Cricetulus griseus: one gene and its partners. The protein of the gene in region 1 interacts with the protein of each later gene in a pairwise test. Links are inferred from orthologs where the notes say so. Each region holds a gene or a part of one and is shown in the gene's direction. Other genes may lie near its edges. The genes, in order: Rad23a, Ngly1, Zbtb8a and Mindy3.

The links.
Region 2: the proteins of Rad23a (region 1) and Ngly1 interact in binary tests that used the Homo sapiens proteins (3 or more experiments, as listed by UniProt). The two-hybrid records come from large-scale screens. The link is inferred for Cricetulus griseus from reciprocal best matches to the Homo sapiens genes RAD23A and NGLY1.
Region 3: the proteins of Rad23a (region 1) and Zbtb8a interact in binary tests that used the Homo sapiens proteins (3 or more experiments, as listed by UniProt). The two-hybrid records come from large-scale screens. The link is inferred for Cricetulus griseus from reciprocal best matches to the Homo sapiens genes RAD23A and ZBTB8A.
Region 4: the proteins of Rad23a (region 1) and Mindy3 interact in binary tests that used the Homo sapiens proteins (3 or more experiments, as listed by UniProt). The two-hybrid records come from large-scale screens. The link is inferred for Cricetulus griseus from reciprocal best matches to the Homo sapiens genes RAD23A and MINDY3.

Annotation. Positions count from the first base shown.
Region 1 is NC_048596.1:159,533,277-159,536,388, forward strand, and holds part of Rad23a (UV excision repair protein RAD23 homolog A), read left to right. Parts: intron 1-424; coding exon 425-586; intron 587-728; coding exon 729-910; intron 911-1,035; coding exon 1,036-1,091; intron 1,092-1,229; coding exon 1,230-1,357; intron 1,358-1,576; coding exon 1,577-1,655; intron 1,656-1,742; coding exon 1,743-1,876; intron 1,877-3,112. UniProt on the Homo sapiens protein: Multiubiquitin chain receptor involved in modulation of proteasomal degradation. Binds to 'Lys-48'-linked polyubiquitin chains in a length-dependent manner and with a lower affinity to 'Lys-63'-linked polyubiquitin chains.
Region 2 is NW_023276807.1:173,735,336-173,739,647, forward strand, and holds part of Ngly1 (peptide-N(4)-(N-acetyl-beta-glucosaminyl)asparagine amidase), read left to right. Parts: intron 1-2,609; coding exon 2,610-2,724; intron 2,725-4,312. UniProt on the Homo sapiens protein: Specifically deglycosylates the denatured form of N-linked glycoproteins in the cytoplasm and assists their proteasome-mediated degradation. Cleaves the beta-aspartyl-glucosamine (GlcNAc) of the glycan and the amide side chain of Asn, converting Asn to Asp.
Region 3 is NC_048595.1:23,662,424-23,667,535, forward strand, and holds the start of Zbtb8a (zinc finger and BTB domain-containing protein 8A), read left to right. Parts: upstream 1-1,987; 5' UTR 1,988-2,360; exon of another isoform or gene 2,361-2,449; intron 2,450-5,112. UniProt on the Homo sapiens protein: May be involved in transcriptional regulation.
Region 4 is NC_048596.1:219,999,820-220,004,131, forward strand, and holds part of Mindy3 (ubiquitin carboxyl-terminal hydrolase MINDY-3), read left to right. Parts: intron 1-670; coding exon 671-744; intron 745-1,889; coding exon 1,890-1,969; intron 1,970-4,312. UniProt on the Homo sapiens protein: Hydrolase that can remove 'Lys-48'-linked conjugated ubiquitin from proteins.

The DNA of each region.
Region 1 (3,112 bases):
TTTGTTCTGTTCCACAGGCTGTTGTAAAACAGGGTTTGGGATGGAGCTCTTGTAGAACAATTAGGCCACCACAATCACACGCACATACACACACAACGAGCAGCATAAGTGTCTGGCCTGTAATAGATTGCTGTCGACTGGCCACATTGAGTAGGAGTCTCTTATGATTGAGAGCAAAGCTTTTCCCCTAAGGTAAAAGGGTCAGGAAAGGTGTCTTTATTTTATCTGAGACAGTTTCACTATATAGTCCTGGCTAGCCTGGAATTCAAAGTGATCCACTTGTCGTTCCAAAGTACTGGGATTCAATGTGTGCACAACCATGCCTAGACTTCACTGAGGGTATCTTAGAGTGTTAGTGCTATGTGTAAACATACACATCACACTATTAAAGCCGTGTTTTTAATGCCTGTACTCCTTATTCCAGGTGAAGGTGCTGAAGGAGAAGATAGAGGCTGAGAAGGGTAGAGATGCTTTCCCTGTGGCTGGACAGAAACTCATCTATGCTGGCAAGATCTTGAATGATGATGTCCCCATCAAGGAATACCATATAGATGAGAAGAACTTTGTGGTTGTAATGGTGACCAAGGTGGGTAGATTAGCTGGGATGCTGGCAAAGGGCTTGTGTGCCCAGGAGAGATTAGCCATAGGCAGGGTGGGGCTGTGATGGGGCAGGATGTTGAGGCTTGATAGGGATGCTGCTGCCTGATCCCTTTTTCTTGCTGCCACAGGCCAAGGCTGGCCAAAGTACCCCAGCACCCCCAGAGGTCTCACCCACTGCTGCCCCAGAGTCCTCCACACCCTTTCCTCCGGCTCCAACATCAGGCATGTCCCATCCTCCACCTGCCAGCAGAGAGGACAAGAGCCCATCAGAGGAATCAGCTACTGCAACATCTCCAGAATCCATCTCTGGGTAAGGAAGGGGCAGTAGCCTTACCTGTGCCCTGTCCTCTGCACTTTCCAGTGTGGTCCCATGCACTTGTGGGGAGGGCAAGCCACCAGAAGCCAGGGTCCGATTTCTCTCTCTTGAATTTGCAGCTCTGTTCCCTCTTCAGGTAGCAGCGGGCGAGAGGAAGACGCAGCTTCCACATTAGGTGGGTGGGTGGTCCTCAGGGCAGAGGCGACTGGGAGCCCCAGCCATCCGCCTTTGACAGCCTTGTCTGGGTATGGGAGGGTCTGGGAGCAGCCCTTCTGTGCCCCTGGTGACCCAGGCCCTGCTGCTCCCTCCACAGTGACTGGCTCTGAGTATGAGACGATGCTGACTGAGATCATGTCCATGGGCTACGAGCGGGAGCGGGTTGTGGCCGCATTGAGGGCCAGCTACAACAACCCCCACAGAGCTGTGGAATACTTGCTCACGGTGAGGGAGTCTCCAGATCTTGGTGCCTCAACAGGCAATGGAGGTGGAACCTACCCCATAGGCTCATGGGTATCACGTGTTGCCACTGAAGGCTTCTCAAAGAGGCTGTACGAGAGTGTGGAAGGCAGGCATGAGGCCTTCCTGTCTCCTGTCAGGCTGATCAACTGGGAGGGGGAAGTGGGTCTGTTGGAGAGAACTAAAAAGCAGGATCCCTGACAGGGAATTCCCGGGAGTCCTGAGCCGGAACATGGTTCTGTTCAGGAGAGCCAGGTACCAGAACAGCCGGCCGTGGAAGCAGGTGAGTAGGATGGATTTGCACATGTGGGTATCTACAGTAGACACAGGAGCCCTGCAGGGCTCTCACCACACCTCTTCCTGCCACCAGCAGGGGAAAACCCCCTGGAGTTCCTGCGGGACCAGCCCCAGTTCCAGAACATGCGGCAGGTGATCCAGCAGAATCCAGCCTTGCTCCCTGCACTGCTCCAGCAACTGGGCCAGGAGAACCCTCAGCTCTTGCAGGTGCGGCCCAGGGTGAGGGAACTGAGACAGACACCTTTTCTAGTTCTTTAGGGGATCACCCAGGGACATAGCTTTGCTCTGAGAAAGCAGAACTAGCACAGGCCCAGCCCCTTGCTCCCTGATGACGGCAAGGTTATGTGTAGTTGGACTCTCATGAGGTATGGATGTTATTGACATCCACCTGCTGAAGGTCAGGCCCAGAGCAGGTTGCCGTATGTCTGGGTCCTGGACTCTGGTCACAGCATTTTTGAGTGCTTGCTCCCCTTCCTGCTCCTCAGTCCTGGCCTTCTTGATCTGACCTTCACCTTTTGACCCTCTGTATGGTGACCTATCTGAACCTGTGTCACCAGAACCCTTGGAACCCTCTCATCTGAGCTATGAGAGGACTTCCTGGACCGATGAGTTCTTAGGCCCGTTTGATTCTAGTTGTATTTCTGCACTGAGCCTCTGGTAGCCTTGTGGGGACTGTTTCTCTGTTTCTACCCCTATGGCAGCTACTTCTCCCTCCCAGTATCCTGGCACCCTCCTCTCATGTCTCCTAATTCTGCACAGTGCCCCTGGTGAACTGCCCACCAAGAGGCTAGATTGCTGAAAAGGCCCTTTTTAATGTGAAAATAGTCAGAAGTCTGCAGAAACAAACGGTTGCTTCAGAATCTCTGGATTTCCAAGTAGAGTGTATTTAATAGATTCTAGAGCCGAGTGTGACAGTGCATACCTGTAAGCACAGCACTTAGGTGACTGAGGCAGGAGGATCACTGAACTTGAAGACAGCTCCTTCTAATAGTGAAATCATTTCAAAAAAGAAAGAAAAAAGATAAAGGTTGCACAGGCTGAGTGTTACTCAGTAGGGAGTGCTTGTGCTTAGCAGGTTGAGACCTGGGTTTACTTGCAACACCACAAAGAGAAGGACCCAAGCAGCACTGCCTTGTTTGCCACTGTGGCTTCCCACTGCCACAGGAGAAAGGTCTTCCCAGACTTTCTGTGCTGTTCGTGCCACTGAGCTCTCCCACCCCTGGGCATTTTCACTTGGTACTTGTTTTAGCCAGAGGCAAGCCCCCCTCTTCCTGCCCCAGACAGTGGGTCCCTCCCACAAGGCCTCAGTGATTTAACTAGCATATCTGCAATTATTTGATTTGAACTTTTTGTTTTTCTTCAGTCTCACTATATAGGTTAGGCTGAACTATATGGTTTCAAACTCATGGTGATCCTCCAGCTTCAGCCTCCTGAGTGCTGGGA
Region 2 (4,312 bases), on another chromosome or scaffold:
GTTCTGGAGTGGAGATTCATGAGGAATAGCATTAGAAGAAACAACCATTAAATGTAATTGTAAAGCAATTTTGTAATCATAATCATAAATGCTGATGGAGTGGAGAAAGACACTGGCAGAGGTTCACAATTGTAATGACAGTGCAAGAAATAATAGAAGACAAAATAATAAAACAGACTTCTAGTAGTTTTATTATTTAATGCAGGTTGCCACTGTCACATAGAGAAATTGAATGTGAGTGTTGAGGGTTGGTGAGTTTGTTGGAAGCTTATATGGTGGAGTATGTTTAGACTTTATAACAAAACTAGTAAGTTTCAATTCTCATCAACTACTTTTAATCTGTAATGGTAAGCAATTTATATATAATTTCCCAGTTTGAGTTTCCTTATAAAAGGGAAGAAAAATACTCTATCTAGGATTGCAGTAAAATATAGAAAAAAAGGACTTGGCATATACATAGCTACACCGAGGTTATCTATTATCATTATTACTAAATTAGTTTACAAGTTTAGTGGAGTATTTGATTAGATTTGTTCTTTGAAATTTCATACATGTTGTAGTGCATTGTTTGCTCTTCCTTCTCTTCCCTGTCATCATCCCCTCTATTCTACAAGTCCTTTCCCCACATTCATGTATTTTTATTTGTTTTATCTTGTATCTCACTGGTGGGTTTTTTGAGAATTATTTTTGTTGTGTTTTTGAGACAGTTTCATCATGTGACCATCGGTGTTGTTTTGGGATTATAGGCATATACCACTGTGCTTTGATAAGTATGCATTGTTTGCTTTTAACAACAGTGAATGGTAGAGGTGGGGCCAATAATTGATCCTGTATTCTTCCTAAGCAGAGACCCTGTTTCCAAAAAAAGGTGTGTGGGGGGGAATTGACTTTTCTTACCTGATTCAAATACAAAACAAATGTTATTTTTCTGAAAATTAAATAATTTGGTAGATAACTATAAGAGTAAAACAACTAGGAAGACAAGATATTTTCAAAGTGACAGTTGGGCAAGTACAAAGAATTTTGCTGCCTTCTCAAGATCCCATCGTTTTAACATCATCAAAAACCAACCATCCAGAAAGTGTCTCAAGAAAAGATATCAGATAATTGCTAACAAGTGAAATAAAGATTACAACTTGCAGAAATATTTAATAGATAACAGAGATGTGGGGCTATCAAATTGTGGCAACAAAAACAGAAAAATCTGCAGAGAAAATTAAGTTGATGGAGAATCAAGCAAAATTAAGGTCAATGCCTGTAGTGCCATAGACATAACAGGACCAACTTTTAGACTTAGTGTATGCTTAAGCTCATGCAAATCTGCTTAGCATTTTTAATTTTTTCAAAAAAGCATTTGGGTTGGGCATGCATAACTTATTCAAGCAACGAGGAGCCTGAGACAAGGAGAATTTTGAGTTTAAGGCCAGCCTGGGTAAAACTAAGAAAAAAGAAAATAAAGAATCTGGGAACTAGATATGACTGTCATTATTCTGTTTATAGACGATAAAAACCAGTAAGTAATTGTAATTGTCATGTAGAACCCTAGAAACTATTGGAGAAGTTAAAATAGCTGCCTTTTAAATCTGGGATATACCATTGTGGTAGCACTGACATGTTTATCACCTGTGGCATGTATCATAAAAAGTCCCAGTTATCTGTAGTTAATATTGACAAAAATTGGGGTTGCTTTATAGCTTAATTTTGTTTCTTCAAATGGCATGCCATGGACATCAGGGATGCTGAGCATTCTGTGGTGCATGGGGAATCTCCTCTCAGCTGTGGTCTAGATGTGGCTGTCAGAAACTCTGGCCTAATGCATAGAATAAATGTAGAGAGGATAAACTGTCCTTAGCTCCCAATAATCATTGCTTGCTTTTGAAATCATTTGTGGAAAGAATTTTTTTTAACTTCCAGTCCTTGGTGAATCTACAAATTTTATAGAATGCAATGGAAATCTCATGGTATTATCAAATTGTTATAAAAATCATTGACCCTCAGTCTTGCAGTTCTCATGGAAGAGAGTTTGTAGACCAGCACTAATGTATGATAGTTAAGCAGTAAATACGTAAACTTTGTCCTTGAATATTCATGTTTTCCTTTTATTACCTTACTTCACATACTAAAAATATATTTTCAACTGAGGTCGGAACTTACAATAAAAACAGTCATTGGTCCAGAGAGAAAATGAAGCTAAGTAACTATTAACGTTCATGCAAAGTTTCTTTAACTGTGTTTCAGTTCACAAAGGCTTCTTAATCACAATCTTTGTGCCATGTGCACCATTATAGATGATGGGATCCCTCAGAGCAAGCCAAGTTCTCTACCCTCTGCCTAGAGCTTACTGTCCATCATTTTCCATTAGAAACTACAGCACAGAATTAAAATATCACACCATTTCCTATGACAGCATTAATACTGTCATACTGCAGTAGAGGACAATAGAAGTACCCTGTGGTACAGAGGTAAAAATCATGAAATTGAACTGCTTGTCTGGACTGCTCACTCTTTAAAGTTGCAACCTATACGGCCATGTAGGAGTGCAGAAACTCTTAAAAAGATAAGTTGCTACATATTATCCATTATGCTATCTTTATTATTTTTTTAATCAGAAACCCCAATGATGAAAAATACAGATCCATCCGTATTGGAAACACAGCTTTTTCTACTAGACTCTTGCCTGTCAGAGGAGCCGTTGAGTGTTTGTTTGAAATGGGCTTTGAAGAGGTAAGTATATGTGTAAGGGTTTCCTCCCCCTCTTCGTGTGCAAAGCAATCAGCAGTAATAGTGAATAGTTGTTTGAATGAAATAGTATTTTTAATTAATTGATCATTTTGAAAATGTATGGAACTAGGTTTTTGCCTTGATTTTTTTTTAACCTGTTAGACATTTTTAAAGTAAGATGAAGTCATGTAGGAATTCTTACAAATCTCAGTCATTCAGAATAAAAAGGATGAAACCCAAAGATCAAATGTGGTCCCTTCAGTCTTCTCGAAAGCACTGGCTCTGTGAGTATACAGTGAATCCCAAGGTATCACCATTGTCTCCAGTAAGAAGTAGGAAATGTGAAACAAATACAGAAAAGATGAGTTAACCTGCCCCACAGAATGGTTTTCTTCTGTGACAGGAATCTCAAGATGTTTTATCATTTCATTTCACAAGAATAGTTCAGTGTTTCCATCCTCTCAAACCTGTGGCAGAGATAACCCAATAAACACAATTATCAGAATTGTGAATTTTAGTCAGATATGCTGGCATATTCGGTAGTCTTATCTACTTAGGAAGCTTAGGCTGGAAGATGGTGAGTTCAGGGCAGCCTGAATTGCATACTGTCTCTAAAAGACAGACAGACAGGATTTTGAATCTTTTATGTTCTGCTACTTCTGATGTATAGGATACATTGTATTGGAAGTTGAGCAGGACTACAGGTGCCAGTATCAGAGTCAGCATTTATAGACTTTGTTAAAGAAATAGAATGTGCTTTCCTTCCTGTTTACCCTTCCTAACCCAATTCTGTTGCACACCATAAGGATGTAGCAGTGAAATAAGTTAATATAATCCCATCTCACCCAGAGCTTATGTTCTAATATATTAGAAAACATGAAAGCAGAGACAAGTGCAAAGAAGAAAACAAGACAGGGTAATGTACTCCCAGCAGTTAGAGATGCAGTCACTGTACAGTGAAGTAACTAGGGAAGGCCTCTGAGGAAGTAAAGATAGAACCTAAGTAACAAGATACCATTCAGGTACCTGAAACTCAGTTGGTGCAGAGGATTGGCATGTGCAAAGGGCTTCTATCAGAGGTAGCTCTGACCCAGAAAATAACTTTAGGGGTAGACAGAGACCAGGCTTTCAAAGACTTTTAGATTGTTTTGAGTGAGAGAGGAAGTTGTGATAGTTTTCTATGAGAGTATTTCTAGAGACAGTTTAGGAAGTCCATGACTAAATGGATTGTAGAATCCCTTGAGGGATTCAAATTTTGAGTAGATTAATTAGACTGGATGGAACTATGGAGGTGGGGCCATAATGGAGGCAGTAGATATCTAGGAACATGCCTTTGGATGCTATCTCTTACCCTAGCCACTTCCTATTGCTGCTCTGGTATAGTTCCTGTCTAACTAGAGATGCCTCCTCTTCCACATGGTCCCACCATCATGGCTATAGGCCATGTTGCCAAGTGACTAGGGACTGAACCCTCTAAACCTGAGCCAAAATGAACCCTTTCTCCTTTAAACTGTTTGTATTGGATATTTTTTCACAGAAACAAGAAAAGGAACTAATATTGAGGCCATTGAAAAGTTTTAAGCAGGGAAGA
Region 3 (5,112 bases), on another chromosome or scaffold:
GTGGGTGCTATCAAAGACCCGAGCTAACATGGGGTTAGCTCGTTAAACTACAATAAAGCCTCATGCAATTTGCATCGAGCTTTCGCCTCCATTCTGTGTTTGGGGTGGCCGAGGTCCTGGGCTAAGATTCTGGAAGCCTCAGCTTTCCTAGGGTCTAACAACTGAAGTCAGGAGGATGAAGATGAAAGGAAAACTCTTTCTCCTCGGAATACAGTGCATCAGCAAGCAACCTTATGTGGTCTGTCTAGAAGCATGCTTACAGACTTGTTCTATTTTATGTGCTCACTTGTTTTTGGAGAAAGGTCCAGGTGTATAGCCTAGGCTAGCTTGGAATGCCTGCCGGGCCCTCCAGTTTTACATCTGCCAGTCGCTGGCCTTACAGCACACCTGGCTATGTTGGCTGTTTGAATTCACTAACACTAAAAATAAAACCTTTGGCCAGACGCAGCGCAGCGGCACACACCTCGCTTCCCAGCTGCTTGGGTGGTTGAACAAGACAATGATGATAGAGCGAGCCCAGGAGTTCAGGGTGGCAATGGCATTTAGAGTGGAGGAAACACACCACACACACACACACACACACACACACACACACACACACACACCATTTTCCCCCTTCAAATTCACCTGCTTTCCATTTGGTGGGGCCCCTCTGCTCTGAGATGTGGTTTGGATTGACAGGATGACCTGGCCTAAATTAACCGTGGCCAGTGTGCCCTGGGGCTCCCCTACATACCTGTCTGGAGTGTAGACTAGGGCTAGCTTCCAGATCAGAGACATGAATAGCCGCTGGAGAATTGTTTCCAACTTCCTCTTGGACGCAGGAATGGACAAAAGGCTGCTATTTGCAAGCATTGCAAGCCAGGCCCCCTAGGGTGCAAAGGAACCTTCCTGGTTGGCTTAATTGGCAGCAGAATGTTTTTGTTTTGAGACAGGGTCTCCTTGTGGCTGCCCTGGAACTCTCTTTGTAAACCAGGATGGCCTTGAATACAGAGAGACCTGCTTGCCTCTGCCTTTCCAGTGCTGCAATAAGCTACTATAATGTCCAGCTCTTTCTGGGATAAATCTTCAATGGGAATGTTAGAACAGCTTGAGCATATTCAGCAATGCTGAACCATAACGGTTTTCTTTTTCAAGACAGGGTCTCACTATGCGGCTCTGGCTGTCCTGGGAGGGCTTCTAACTCAGAGATCTGCCTGCCTCTGCCTCCTGGAGTGCTTTGATTAAAGGTGTGGTAAGGATTTTCAAACTAGCTTCTGGCTACTTTTCCTTCCATTACCTCAAAAGGTAAAGAAACACATCTAAATCACAAAGCAACTCTGGAGTAAACAGGTATAATATTCAGGAAAGACCAAATGTTTTGTTCTAGCTAATCGGTGAGGAAACCGAAGAAACAAGACCCTAATAGGCCCAACTAAGACTTGGGAGAGGAACCCCTCAAAAAAACATTAAATGTATGCTTTGAAGATTTGAGTCTCCCCCCATTTCATCATAATACACTATTTCACAGCAATTAACAACTAATATGAGGAAATATAAAATTAATTTAGTTTAGCTTGGCGGTGGTGGCACAAGCCTTTAATCCCAGCACTCGGGAGGCAGAGGCAGGCAGATCTCTGTGAGTTCGAGACCAGCCTGGTCTACAAGAGCTAGTTCCACGACAGCCCCCAAAGCCACAGAGAAACCCTGTCTTGAAAAACAAAAACACAAAATAAAATCATGTTCTCAATATCTCAGCCTCTCTGGGCTTGCCTTTTCAAATGGTCTGAAGGGGACCTACAAAGGTTTCTAAAGGGTTATCCCTGACTAGAATAAGTGCTTCGATAAAGAGAGGAAATTTGTGGAAATCTCTTCCATTTGACGTTGCTAAACTTAAGAACAATAATGTCATATGTACTTATACAGTAATTGTGGGCACGCCTAAGTCCCTCCCTCTGTCCTTAAACCAATATCCCCACATCTTAGAAATCCTAGCCCTTTTTCTGCCCTCCGGAGGCGCCTTTCCCAACGTAAAGTACAATTTTAAAATTTAAGCTCGCGACTAAAAGAATGATCCGCAGTCAACTGCTGGGGAATCTGGGCGCCCCAGCGCCTGCGGAGGGTGCAGCCGGGTGTGGGCACGGACAGGGGGAGTGGGCGAAGCTGCTGGTTGGTGCCTGAAATCTGTGCGTTGCCCCTTTAATTGTGTCCTCAGCCCTCGGGCGTTTCTGTCCAACGCCCACGTCAGCAAATACCTTTTGTTTCTCCCACGTTGGGGCTACTTGTTTTAGGGCGCACAGCCTCGGCTTCGGAAGGGGGTGCTTCCCCCACCGGGAACCGGGAATTACTCCGCAGCGAGCACGAGCGGCCAGAGCCCCGCGGTAAGTGGCTGCGAGGGCGCGGGCGGGCAGAGGGCGGCCGGGGCGTCGGGGCTGCGGGCCCGGCCGAGAGCCTGGCGGAGGGCGGCGAGGCCGCCGGGTGCGCCCCGGTGTGTAGGCGTTTTCGGGGAGAGCTCCGGGGCCGGCGACGGCCACAAAGGAGGCACGGGCGGCGGCGCGGCGGCCCGGGCGCGGCTGCGGGACAATGGCTGCGTCGTCGCCGCTCGCGCCCGCGCCCCGCCCGCGGCCGGCCCCGGAAAGGCGGGAAGGCGCCGGAGCCTCCTGGCGGCGGCGGTAGGGAGGCGGCGCCACGGAGTCGGGGCGTGTCTGCAGCCGTCGGGCGCCGTGGCGGGGGAAGGGCGCGGGGCGCGGGCGCGCGGGGCGCGGGGCGCGGGGCGCTGCCGCCCGGCGTTCTCACTCCACCCACCGCCCTCTCGCTTTCGATCACGACACGACACGACACGACGGTTCCGAGCTTAGAACCGAGGACAGGAATATGGAGCCCCAGCTGGCTCCCGGGAGAATGTCCCTGGCATCTCCCACCTGGCGACACTATCTGGTTTGGTCCCTTCGCGCTCTGGCGCGCTTAGTCGCCCTTGACCGTGCGGTTAGCAGTATTCCACGTCTTTCCGAGACGTGTTTGGAATGGGATTCACACCTAGCGGGCACCCAACCGCACACACCGCTAACACCTTAGAAGTCTTTATGTTTGCAGGACTTTAGTAAATGGAGTGGTTTCGCTTTCATGAAATAGTTCACTTGATTTCTTATAAGACAACTACCTGTTCAGGCCGTTTATTCTCCCTTGCAAAGGAAAGACTCTAACCACGGAATCTCACCCCTAGACAGGGAGTGTTGACAACTTCTCCAGCCCTCCTATTCCAGCAGCCTCCTGGAGCAGTCAGTCTCCAAGAACCAAAAACCTTCACTGATCTTTATCACTTAAGGCTTACTTCCATTTACCTATTTAATTTTGTTTTAAGCTGGACTCAGGCTAGCTTGAAATTTTGATTCTATCTCTACCTCGGGAGGGTTGGGATGAACTAGTCGAATTTCAGTCTGTCTTAAATCTTTTAATGGCATAATTATATTCTTTAATATCAAAGGGGTTGATATAAGGTTGTTGTTGTTTTTTTTAAATTTTCCCTGATTTTTAAAAAGTATCTTCTTTTGAAGACAAGGTCCTATGTAGCCTAGGCTGGCCCCAAATCTATATAGTTTGTGATGACCTTGGACTCCTGTTTCTCCTACAGCCACCTGTCAAGTGCTGGGGTTGCAGGCATGAATCTGTGCTGGAATTGAACCCAAGACTTCATACATGTTTACATAGGCACTCGACTAATGAACCATATGCCCAACCCTCCCCAAGCCTTAAATGGCAACCACCCCCACATCTTACCAAAAAAACCCAAAGGCTCAGAAGACCTATAGTCTTCAAGGCCTTATAGGAACTGGGCTCACTGTGTTTGTGTGTGTGTGTTTCGGGATTGAACCCAGGGACTTGCACACGCTAGACAAATATTTTACTGTTGGGATACATTCCCAGACCCCTTCCTTATTTATTTATTTATTTATTTATTTATTTATTTATTTATTTATTTCTCAAACAGAGTTTCTCTGTGTAGCCCCGGCTGCCCTGGAACTCCTGACTCTGTAGACCAGGCTGGCCTCGAACTCATAGATCCACCTGCCTCTGCCTCTGGAGTGCTGGAATTAAAGGGGTGCGCCACCACCATCCAGCCACATTTTTTTTTTTTTGGTTTTTTTGTTTGTTTTTGTTTTGTGAGATAGGGTTTCTCTGTAGCTTTGGAGCCTCTTCTGGCACTTGCTCTATAGATCAGACTGGCTTCCTGAAAGACCTCAGAAGAGGTACTTTCGTAGAAGGAGACCCGCACCCAGGAATCAGCGAAACCACGAACTCTGGATGTAAGAGCAAGAGGCTTTATTAGTAGCGCTGGTACCCCGGGGCTTAGCTTTTGGGTAGGCTAAGCCCCGAGCCAAGGGAGAGGGGTCCTTATATAGCTAAAAAGCACAGTGCAGAAGCGAAAAGCATAGTTACAGGGATTCTATTGGACAATTTAATGAGGTACAGAGTTATCAGTATATTCTCAAGGTCTGCACCTGGTACAACAGACCCAATTCCCCCCTCCGCGTCCAGATGGCTGACCTTGGGACGGAGGTTCCCCATGGGGGGGGCGTCCTCTCCCCGCTCGGCCCCAGCCCCGGGGCGCGGCGCCAGGCGGGCGGGCCTGGGTCGAGGGCCCCCCGCCTGGGTGAACCGGCTTGGGAGGGAGCCAGCCGCCAGGCGTGTGGGAGTGTGCGCGCGTACGGGAGTGTCACCGAGAGAGAACCAGCCAGGGGGCGGGGTCTTTCACTCCAACTCACAGAGATCCACCTGCCTCTGCCTCCCGAGTGCCAGCCACATTTTTTTTTTGGTTTTTTTTTTTGTCTCTTGGCTTTGGAGGCTGTCCTGGAACTAGCTCTTGTAGACCAGGTTGGTCTCAAACTCACAGAGATCGGCCTGCCTCTGCCTCCTGAGTGCTGGGATTAAAGGCATGCGCCACCACTGCCCAGCCACATTTTTTTTTAAAGTAAATTTATTTTGAGATGAGGGTTTTCTGAGTGGCCTAGGGCTGCCTTGGACTTGCTCCTCCCTGCCTCAGCCACCCAGCTCAGCTGGCATTATAGACATAGCTCTCCCCACGCCTTCTCCATGCTTGTTCCACTCAGGGCCTTTGCATCCTGCTGTTCCCTT
Region 4 (4,312 bases), about 60 Mb from region 1:
AGTATAAAGAGGAAAGGGATATTGGGGTATAACACAGCTTAGGAGATCATAAATACTTCAGTTCTACTGCAGTGTCAAATAACTAGGGACAACTGTGAAAGGTAATACAATTTTTTAATATGGAAATGACTGTGTGTGTGTGGTGTGTGTGTGTGTGTGTGTGTAAGATTCTGAAATTGGAATGAGAATTTGTGATGAAGACATTTGGTATATAGAACACTAGAGTCAAGGAAACTAGGAAAATAGTATTGTAGTGGAAACCTAAAGCAGGATGGTGACAATAGAATGGAAGAGAAAGGGAACAAATAGAATAAAGAATTAATAATAACAGAAGTTGACCAAATATTAAACAAGTTACTACATTAAGTAATGTAAGGTACCAAAAGTGCTTGGAGGTCAGGTGATTGGGTAGCTAGGGGCTAAGGTGTTGCACCCTCATGAACTTTTTTTCACTATTCACTCTCAACAGTGGTTCTGCCTCAAATTCTGATACTTTCGGTATCCTTGCCTGTTTTAGCCATTACACTAGTTGTTCCCTTCTTACCATATCAAACGCAACCCCACTTCAAGTCTGGGTAATTCGAATAGTACTTTATAAACATATAGTCCAAACTGATCATACTTTGTACTTTATTTTAAAATGAAGTTAATGAAATCTTGGTTTCTTTAGGGCATTGAAAACATAAAGAATTCAATTGAAGATGCAAATGAGCCTTTGATAGACCCCGTGTACGGGCATGGCAGGTAAAGGCTGCAGTCTGCTGTCTCTTACTGAACTTAGGAGCAGGAGAGTTTCTGATGAGTGTGTTGGCAACAAGTCGGGCTTGGTAGCCCTGGGCTGCGTGCATTGCATTGCTTTAGCCAGTGTTAACATCCAGTTTCGAGTTGTTTACACATGACTTATTATGACAGGTATCTTGTCAAGATATTTTTAACAAAGCCTCCTTTATTATATCCATTTATGTATTTTTTTTAAAAAGCTAAATTTACTCACATTAACCTAGAAATAAGTATTTTCTTACCTATCTGTGCTAGTTTCTTTTGGAGATAAAACAACTCTTTTCTAGTTTTTTTACTTTATTTTACCAAAAATCAATGGAATAGTGAAAATTAATCTATTCTCACACACATCCTTCTTTTTAGATATGTCTGCTTTAGTTGTTAACATTAACCTATCTTCTATCAAAGACTGCATATTAAATATAATTATAATGTTCTCCATCTATTACAAAGCCAAGGTTATTGGTTGCGGGGGCAAGAATGTATGTATAAGGATAAATATTTTAAATGTTGTTAAGAATTATGCTGATTTAGTAAAGTGAGCTTTTGCAGGTTCTTCTCCAAGACACATGACTTCATTGCCAGGTAGTAATGTTTCCAGTTCCAGTTGGTTCTCCAGTACCAAGTAGTCAGCCAGTTCCATGCACATGCAAGGAACACTATATAGACCAAGTAGTTTGTATTTATTTAGGAGATTGTGTATGTATGTGTGTAAATATATGTAACAACAAGAGAAAAGAGGCAATTAATTTGAGAGCAAAGAGGTACATGGGAGAGATTGAAGAAAGGAATGGGGGAAATGATATAATTCCAAAAATTATTATGTATAAAAATAAGTGTAAATACTAAGTAAACAGACAAATACTTATCCCTTTAAATATGCCCTTAAAGTTTTGTGGCTTCTATGATTATGGTAACAGATGCCATTGTAGGGCAACACTAAGACCTTCACCATAGCCAGCCATAGAAAAATGAAGTAAGGTTTCCTCTCATTTCGTGTTTTAACATAACAAATATAAGAAGTCATTAAAATCTTTATTGTAGGAATTACTTAATTTGAAGAACAAGTTTTACGCTTGTTTTAACTGATATTTAATTTTTATTGATAGCCAAAGCTTAATTAACCTCCTACTGACGGGACATGCAGTTTCTAATGTATGGGATGGTGATAGAGAATGCTCAGGAATGCGTAAGTATGTTCTTTGCTATGGCCTCAAATTATTAATATTTTAGTGAAATATGGGAGATTGATATTCATCTATTTAATGGCTCTCCATTATATGGATGTTAAGGTAAGTGCTTTCTATTAGAAGGAAACTTCATAGTTTCCAGGACACCATAACATTAAAGTGTAGATTTTTGGAAGCAGGCAGGCAGTCTTGGGTACCAAATGTATGAGCTTGGTCAGACTTGAATCCTCAAGGCTTTGGTTTTCTCTGTTTTGTTATTGGGACTGTGGGGACTAACTTTAGAAATAGTAATCTATCTCTTAGTAGATGTAATATATGACTACTTATCCAGGGACAGCTCTGCATTCAGCGTTGGGAGTTATGGGAGATTATAAAGTAATTGGATTACTTGTTTTGCCAGTATCCTGGGTTTCTCTGTATTACTTTTTTAATTATATTTTATTAGTAATTAGGAACAAGCTTGCTTCAGATGTCAATCCCTTCTCCCTCTCCCTCCCCCCAACATCCCACCTGCCCCTAGCCATCCCCCCTCCACTCCCCAGGCAGAGTAAAGCCCTCAAAAGGGGCTCCCCAAAGTCTACCACATCATCCTGGGCCAGGCCTAGGCCCTACCCCATGTGTCCAGGTCAGGGGAGCATCCCTTCACAAGGGATGGGCTCTCAAAATCCCTTTTTTTTTTAAGACCTTACATATTTAATACAGTGCGTTACCTCTGTACAAATGGAAAAAAATTAAGTTCAACATTTCTAGACCAATATGGCTGTTAAATTTTGTACAATGCCAACTCAACACGGTAAACTGGGATACTTTTTTCCAAAGTTGACAGCACAGCTAAAGTTTCTAAAAATTCAGACCAATAATGACAGTATGTTATGCATCAATAGCAGCAACAGCTCTGTATTACTTTTAATATATACTATAATATGCTGGGCAGATTTTGTTTTCTAATGCTTTCTATCTACTTACCTTTCCAACTACATTTCCATTTCTGGTTTCATTTATTTTGTTTCAGTAGCTTCTTATGTTGTTATGAACATCAAATGAAGTGCATTAGCCAGGCCATTCCCTTAAGCAGAGCTGATGCAAAGTAATGAATTAAATCCCCTTCAATTTATTACTGGACAGTCTGAACTCATTTCTGTAGTCATTTAACTTTTATGGAATAATTGCAATAAACCTTTTACTGAAATGTCTATTGTAGGACATGAAGCTTCATAGTTCCTGTTTGTAGGCAAATTTATGTTTTCCCCCAATTTGGTGTTCGATAGAATGGTTACCAAACAACAGAGTATATTACATTTGAGAAAATGTTACTGCTTTTCATTTATATGATTCTTAACTTTTAACTTGCATTTTCCTCAAATTTTAGAAATTTGTATAGCTATTTCATAGGAAAAATACAGTGTTAAGAAAAATTTGAGTAAAAATTATAGAATCCCAGAATTTAGAGAACACAATACACCTTTCCACTGTACTGTTTGGAAATGAAGAGCCTGACTCCCTCCACTAGGTAATGTGTTCAGTGTAACTCCCTTAGTGGGGAAGTTAGAATAAGAGCCCAGCCTTGCAAACTGCATGGATACTGAACCCCACAAGTGCTGTCTTGTTCAGTGCTCTGTACAAGCACATCCTAAGGACTCGCCATTCTGATTTAGTCTAAAAGCATGTGATTCTGCTAGCTAAAGTGCCGGTCTCTCATGGGTACTGTGCAGTTTCTTTGATTTCTCCTCCTCCCAAAGATTCCTGGTCTCTGAGGTATCTGCTGTAATTTCAGATAACTAGAGAAGGAACTGTGGTTTAAGTATCTCTTCCCATCTGGCCTCTATCAATCACTGCTACTTCCTACTGCTTGCTGTGGTCATAACTTTTAGTCTTTTGTTCATTACTAAGTTATCCTGGTGCAATTTCCTGTACATTCTCCTCTCCCCCCCCCCTTCTCGTTACCATACTACAGAACCCATATCTCCTGCCCTCCTGCCTCCCCTTGGTACATAGGCTCTTACCATTTTGAGTCTTACCTCAGTTACAGAATCTGTTCATCACTTATATAAGCCTTATTTCTGGTATATGCAAATTCATTCTTTTCTGATTCTTGAGGTACTGTTCAAGACTGTTATTTCACTATGGGTAGTTTAAAGTACAGTTTAAGAATCAAAACTAAGCCATGGTAAGAAGATAGGGTTGTCTTCAGAAAGAGAATTGCCCCAGTCTTTAAGAATGTTGACTTGAACTCAATTCTGCTTTCAGATATTTAAATATGAAATAAAAATCCATACATTTACTCTGTGTATTTCTGGCCTAGATAACATGGTAAGGAAGTATGGAACATAAACAAAAAAATA